2 linked regions of the Caenorhabditis elegans genome follow. The protein of the gene in region 1 binds, or shares a complex with, the protein of each later gene. Each region holds a gene or a part of one and is shown in the gene's direction. Other genes may lie near its edges.

Evidence for each region.
Region 2: mdt-18 (region 1) and rgr-1 share a complex: the UniProt entries of both Caenorhabditis elegans proteins name them as parts of the mediator complex.

The regions. Positions count from the first base shown.
Region 1 is NC_003279.8:6,492,178-6,495,815, reverse strand, and holds mdt-18 (Mediator of RNA polymerase II transcription subunit 18), read left to right. Parts: upstream 1-1,968; 5' UTR 1,969-1,984; coding exon 1,985-2,029; exon of another isoform or gene 2,030-2,071; coding exon 2,072-2,146; intron 2,147-2,199; coding exon 2,200-2,315; intron 2,316-2,368; coding exon 2,369-2,433; intron 2,434-2,484; coding exon 2,485-2,771; intron 2,772-2,820; coding exon 2,821-2,931; 3' UTR 2,932-2,994; downstream 2,995-3,638. Other genes in the region: uri-1 (Unconventional prefoldin RPB5 interactor), read right to left, coding at 1-269, 327-1,172, 1,216-1,329, 1,455-1,487; dbr-1 (Lariat debranching enzyme), read left to right, coding at 3,090-3,263, 3,387-3,638. UniProt on the Caenorhabditis elegans protein: Component of the Mediator complex, a coactivator involved in the regulated transcription of nearly all RNA polymerase II-dependent genes.
Region 2 is NC_003281.10:9,392,296-9,396,049, forward strand, and holds the start of rgr-1 (Mediator of RNA polymerase II transcription subunit 14), read left to right. Parts: upstream 1-1,808; coding exon 1,809-1,952; intron 1,953-2,003; coding exon 2,004-3,084; intron 3,085-3,181; coding exon 3,182-3,754. Other genes in the region: gpr-2 (G-protein regulator 2), read right to left, coding at 45-545, 599-846. UniProt on the Caenorhabditis elegans protein: Component of the Mediator complex, a coactivator involved in the regulated transcription of nearly all RNA polymerase II-dependent genes.

The DNA.
Region 1 (3,638 bases):
GGCTCACACTCGTACGGATTCTTCTCAACAATTTCTCCTGGAAATGTCATTGTGCTCATCGCAGCAAGTTCCTTTTGCTCGGGTTCGAGAGCTGAACGATCAACGGGTGTTGGTTCAGTGCTCCGGAGAATTGATTTGGTTTCAATAACTGAATCTTCTTCCTTGATTTCGACAGTGTCTGTTTGATGGAATGTTTTCACATTTTCAAGCTGTTGCGCAAATCGAACTCCCGATTTTTTCCGTTTGACGGTGGTTTTTGTTACGGTTTCCTAAAAATTGTGTGTTAAAATAATAGTGAATTGTTTCTATTTAGTATTTGAAATTACCTCAACAATTTCTTCGACCTTAATCACTTGGGTCTCTATCTTTTTGGATTTCAGTTGTTGGTCAGAATTATTGCTTTTCTCGATATTATCATCAGATGCATAATCATCAGAGTCGAGTTCTTCTACACTATTGTTAAGATTCTCTTCATCATCGTCTCCTTCCTCTTCATCTTCATCATACTCCTCATCGGAACTCTCTTCATCACAAGTGTCTAAGAAATCTAACAGCCGTTCCATTTCCTTCTGTGTTACTCCAGGTTGTGCCAGCAAACGTTCATTCATTCCAAATCTTAGTTTTTTATCAGTTGGATCTTGTTCAACTTCCTCAACTTCCTCTAATTTACCCAAATCCTGTAAATCTTCGTTTGAAACTTCAAAAGGTTTCGGAATTGGAGCTTCTTCCATCTCATCATTGTCTTGTTCCAGTTTCTCTAGTTCTTCCAAACGGTTCATCACATCGTTGTGATCTTGGTCACCATTCAATTTGTTCTTTTCTATTATCTTCTCGTTCTGTTCATCATTTTGAGACATCTTTTTGTTTTTGCGATTTTGATAAAACAGTTTTTCCATCTCTTCATCGTATTTCTCGACAATTTCGATAGGTCCTCCATCAATCGAAACAGATGAGAAATTATCTTGAGCAAACTTTATTTTGTCATCCAACATTCGAATTGAATCGAGACCTTCCTCACGCTGCCTTCTCATTTCAGAAACTCTCCGATCCAAGATCTTTTCAGCTGTATGAATGCTGCATTCTCCGTAATAGTTTGCACCCATTTCCATCGTAACTTGATTCGTGCGAACTACATGGGCACCGCAGAAATAACCGACTTCGCAAATTTTCGCCTAAAAATTAGAATAAGATTATATGAGAGAGAATGTAATTTACCAAAATAGGAGCTTCCAACTTTTTCGAATATTCCTTTGCTCGTTCCAGAACTTTTTCATAGTTATCAGCAATGATTCTTCGACATTCGGTCTCAACTTCGAGCCGAGCTTTAGCCTGAAAAATTAAATTCATACAGACTTAATTATTTTTATACTATTTTAGGGAAACAAACTCGGAATTTAAAAACGAATTATTTTTGTCTTGTCGTTCATAATCATGTAAAAGGATTTTTAATTTACCGCATTGCATTCTGCAACGTAGAGTTCGCTCATTTTTTCAGATAGGTCTTCTTCACTCGTCACAGTCATTTTCTGCAAATCTTAGAGAGGTAATTCGGAGCGGAAAATGGGAAAAAATGTTAAAAAGTAACAATTTCCGAAAGCGCAATTTAAAAAAGTACAAAAAAGTACAAACTTTTATGGAGACACTACTGATTTCTGGAATCTGTTAAATCTTAGAAATGAACTCTTTCAGAATTTCAAACTTCTTTTTTTATATGCGTAAAACTTATCGCATATATTTTATGCAATATTGAAAGTAAGTAGAGTTTTAACCATTAAAGTAACTGAAACCAGAGTTTTATCGTAAAAATGGTAAAATATTCGGGAGTGTTGGTTTCCCTGGAAATGAGTCACGTAGAGTGTGAGTCCGCAAACACCAGCTGTGAATTGCGTAGAATACATTTAATATCACGCTCAAATAGTTTTGAATTAATTTAATTTTTTAAAAACATTTTTTATTCTGTTTATTTAGTTGATTCATTCAAAATATGGACAATTTAGTGGATATTGATGAAGATGGAACACAAGAAAAGGTATTTCGATTGTTAAAATCCATCTAAAACATTTTAATTCAGCTTTCTGTGAATTCAACTCCCTATCAAACACAAGAATGCGTTCTTTATGGATCTATTTTCGCAAAAAATGTCCCAGTTAGTTTTTAAAGTAATTGGACTAAATTCTAATACAAAAGTTTCAACTTTAGGACTTGGAACGACGTTTAGCCGGCCTTTGTGATCCGGGATGTGAGGAATTCTTCGAGCATGAGATGTCATTCAGCCTACGATCTTCGGGTATAATGGATATCAAAACCGATATTAAGTAAGCTTTTTTGTTTATCTATTTAAATATTTGCATGTATTTGATTTTTGAAGATTGCGAAGAAGATTCCGAACAGAACATCGAATTCAAAATTATTGGCAATTAAAGTACATTGGAGGTCGGTTTTAACCTTATAATTCGTATTTTATAATTTTTTGTTTTATTTCAGTTCCGGAACCAGATCAAAAATGCCCAACTATTGTTCGAAAAGAAATCAGTTCACTTGTCCATTCTCAGGATATGATGACGTATGCGAAATCCTTGGGTCTCCGCATGGACTATGAATATATGACACAAGGAAAATTGTGGACAAAAGGAAATATAAAGATTCTGCACTCAATATTGACTAGTACTTCTCGCGCAGGAACATATGATTCAAATTCAATCAAATCTGTTTCTGATTCTGCGTTAGTGGAAATCAGTATCTCATTGCCCGAGTCTGCAGAATACATGCCGGTAGGTTTTTTAGTAATAATTTCGAATTTATTTTTTCAACTCATTTTAGGCTGCCAAGTCTCTTCGTGATTTTGCCGATCAGCTGATGCCACTTGTTAATATGGAAAAAGTCGATTACTGGAAGAAAATGTTCCCAGCTCAAGCAGCTCCTCGTCGTTAATCTTCATTAATTGATTGATCTCACTTTGATACGTTATTTAATTTATAAAATTCACGAAGTATTCAATAATGTTAATATCCCACAAAGCTTCAATGGTTTATACCTTTTATTTTCTGATATCAACATTAAACATTTTTTTACTCCAATGAAAATTTAGAATGTCATCGAAAAATCCAGTAGATGAGCAACCTTGCTGTGGCTCCCATGAAGGTTCGCATCAAGATCCTGCTCCGGAGACGTTAGTAGTTGAAAAAGAAGTTAACAATGGGGAAAAGAAAATACGAATTGCTGTTGTCGGATGCTCTCACGGAGAAATGGATGCTATTTATGAGGTAAAATTTAAAAAAAAATCATATTTTTCGAACAAAATTAATGGCATATTTCAGATCTATTTTCTCTATTAGATTGTTTTAATTGCTATTTAAAATTACAACTATTTAAAAAAAATATTTCAGACAATGACACTAATCGAACAGAAAAATGGCTACAAATTCGATTTGCTGATCTGTTGTGGCGATTATCAAGCTGTCCGAAACTACGGCGACCTTCCACATATGAGTATTCCACCAAAGTACAGAAGTCTTCAAACATTCTATAAATACTATTCTGGAGAACAAAAAGCACCAGTTCTAACTCTATTCATCGGCGGAAACCATGAAGCATCTGGTTATCTATGTGAATTGCCTAATGGAGGATGGGTGGCGCCG
Region 2 (3,754 bases), on another chromosome or scaffold:
AAATAGAATTGACATTTTTATTAATCGTTAAAACTAAAAATTACCTGAGATCTCTGATAATAAAGAAAAGAAGATATGTCTCAGCATAGAGAGCCTTGTCGTAATAGGCGATGTGAACTGCTTCAAACTGGTCTGTTTTGATGGCAAAATCGATGCATTCTTGATACTTGCGACGCGATTCCTCGTATTTTTCGTCGAGTGACAAGCATTTCGCCTCAATTAGCATAATTTTGGTCTCAGACACAGCTCCTTCCGTATTATTCTCGTTGAACAATTTCACGGCTGCAATCTGTTCAGCACATATTGACAAAAGCTTCTTCTTCTCATCTTGATTACTCTCGACGTCTCTTTCACATCCTTCGAGGCACACGGAAGCGAACAAAATTCGAGCTTGACCGATATACTTCTCTCCGTTCTTCTTATTGCTGGTGTAATCAATGAGATCCTCAGCAAACCGTCGAGCCTTGGAGAACTTTTCCATTTTGAGTGCCTGCTGGACGATGCGACGTGTGGAATCACATGCTTCTGGGTAGTTGAAGATCAATCTGAAAAATTAAAGTTATAGAATGCCCAGCCCATTTCCGTTTAATTCACTTACTTGAACATGTTCAACTCATGTTCGAAAAACTCCAAGGCCTTGGCGTCGTGGTTCAAATGCCTGCACACTCTTCCGTAATACATGTAGATTGTACCAAGCAGTTGAAAATTGGAGGTTCCGAACTCCATTGTGTCCTCTAAGCGTCCTTTTCCATCCTCGTATTGTCCCAATTTCATGGCCGTCACCGCGCTTTTCAGCATTGCTTCGATGACTTCATCCTTAGGGCCATCATAATAAGAGACGTCCATTCGTTTTGCGAATGTGGAAACTTCTGAAATAAATCGAAAATTGCGAGCAAAAATAAAAAAATAGAGGAATTTTACGCAAACAGACAAAAATTTCACGCGGATCTGCACGAATACACGAAATATTTAAAACGGGGAAAGTTTCTTCAAATATCTCACGAGGTTTAATAGACTATTACACATTTTGTTTAAAATTTTACAATTTTTCAATAAAACAACCGCTGAAAAACAAATAAACTTGAACAATGACTCGAGAATCTCTGTGGGGAAGTGAAACTTGGCGGTTAACGCGTTGTTTTTTCGCGCGCTCTCAACTTCTAATTTAGCGCCGCTTTCTGATATGTCGTCAAATGTGTTGCCGATGTACGCAAGTACACCATCACGCGCATTTGCACACTCAGTGGAGTTTGCAAACAAATTTTCAAAAATAAATTAAATACTGTTTATTGTTTAATTTTATGCATATTTGTACAATTTGAATGTTATAGTTTGATTAAAACTATTCGAAACATGTAAATAAACTTTAAATTTGTAAATGTGTCGCTTCCCAGACCGTATATTGTGTATTCTTCAAATAAATATGTATTTCGCAGAAACTGTCTTCCCAACTCCGAGCCGCACTGGCGGATAATTCGCCGGCTGCTCCAATATCACCGGCTCCATCTGGCTCGGCCTTGTCACTCGATGAGTCGTCTGGAATTTCAGACCGCGATGTACATTCTTCTCAGGAACAAACGGCACATCTCTCCGAAGTCGATGTAAAATCGATTCATTCATCGGATAGCGAAGATGGTATGCTGCAGTAGAACAAGGAAGATATTTATTTTCTATAATTTCCAGAACCAGCGCAAAATCCCTTACCAGAAGTTCCTGCAAATTGTGGCCCTCCGACGATACCTCTAAATGTTCTATTAGACTTTGCAATTCAACATGTTTACCACGAGATCACAGTTCTTGCGGAATTGATGCAGCGGAAGACAAATGATCAAGGAGAGCAGGAGCGGAAAATGTCTCTTGTACATTTTGCACACGCTACTCGCAGTCAATTTTTGAAACTTGTAGCATTAGTAAAATGGATACGGATTTCGAAGCGAATGGATGTTTGTTATGTAAGCTTAATTCGCTCGATTTCGATCGAAAAAAAAACATTAATTTTCCAGTCTATCGACTACCTTCTCGATCTCCAATCACAATATTTCATCGACACGGCCGATCGATTAGTCGCAATGACTAGGGGAGATCTCGAATTAGCTCGTCTTCCAGAATACCATATTGCGCCAGCTATTGATGTTCTTGTATTAGGAACGTATAATCGAATGCCATCGAAAATCAAAGAAGCTTTCATTCCTCCAGCAAAGATCACACCGAGAGAACAGAAACTCGTCACTTCCCGATTAAATCAGCTCATTGAAAGTCGGCTTTCTCGACTTTCAAGCGGAATCCCACCAAATATAAAAGAAATTCACATCAACAATGGACTTGCAACTTTACTGGTTCCTGGAGAGTTTGAAATCAAGATTACATTGCTCGGTGAAACAGAAATGACAAAGTGGACTCTATTGAATATCAAAATTCTCGTGGAAGACTACGAACTTGGAATGGGACTTCCTCTTGTACATCCATTACAGCTTAATCAGCTTCATGGAGTACTGCAATCTCGGATGAATGTTTCCTTAAATCCTATTAAAGAAGCTTTCTCCTTTTTGCACAGTTTCTGTGTTTCACTACAATTGGATGTTTTGTTTTGTCAAACTTCAAGATTGGCAGCTGGAAGGTTACGTGATAACATTACAATCGAAAAGTATGACCCAAAAGAACGAGTTTTGGTAGTTGGATACTGGGTTAAAAGATCGAAGAGTCGAAGATTAACTGTAGGACAAGTCAAATGTGATGCACAATACAGAGTTCAGATCTATGAAGATCCAAATGACAAGCTAGGTGGACTTAAAGTTCGTCATTTCCCTCATGCTCCTCAGCTCGGACGACTTGATTCTGGAGCTGGAATGTTGTCAATTGATCGACTATTATCAGAAACATATGTGGTCAGATGTAAGGAACGATTGATGCGGTTGAGAAGAATCCTTGAAGCTGCTGAACCAAGATTAGAAGTGAAGATGACTGGAATCTCTGCACCGTCACTTTCTCTTGCTCTCCTACCGGATACCTCTTCAAAGGATGAAATGATGACGGTATCTGTGAATTCATTCTGTGGAAAAGTGCTCTGCAACGTTCACATTCTCAGTGAGTTGTGTCGTTTCAAATTCCAGCATATTAATTTTAAAAAAATACTCTATTTTTTACCAAAATTATAAAAGAAATAAACTTATTCATATTTCAGGTGCTGAACACGAAGATGTCCTGGCTTTTGGAAAAGCTCTCTACAGTAGTCAATGTTCAGCGCACACAATTCAAATGTATCTTAGAAAACTTCGTGTCGCCCTCGTGATAGAACGATATCGACGATCAGTGAAAGCTCTTCCAGTTCGTGAAGTTCAAGAAGCTGAGCTTCTTCCATTTGCAAAGGAATGTCTTGGTGATGCTCCTGCCCAACGAATTATTCTTCAGTTCCTTCGATCTGAAGACTATTATCTGCTTGTCACATTCTCTCCCGATGAAAAAGCAGTTGTTAAGACTCACATTCAACTTTTGGAAGTTGTTGGAGACCGAGCTCAGTTCATTCAGTTGGAGGATGATGAGATGAATGGAATGCATGTAAAAGAAGCGATTAATCAAGGAACGATGCGTTTCTCGCCATCTCATAAAACATCACTTCAAGAAGAGTGTTCGAGAGAGCAGAGACTTGCATTTGCAGTGGCTACTGTAGAAGATCGGATCACGTACATGTATCTGGCGGCTGAATTAATGAAAAAGGGAATTGGAGTTGATGTGAGAAAAGATTCAGCACACGTTC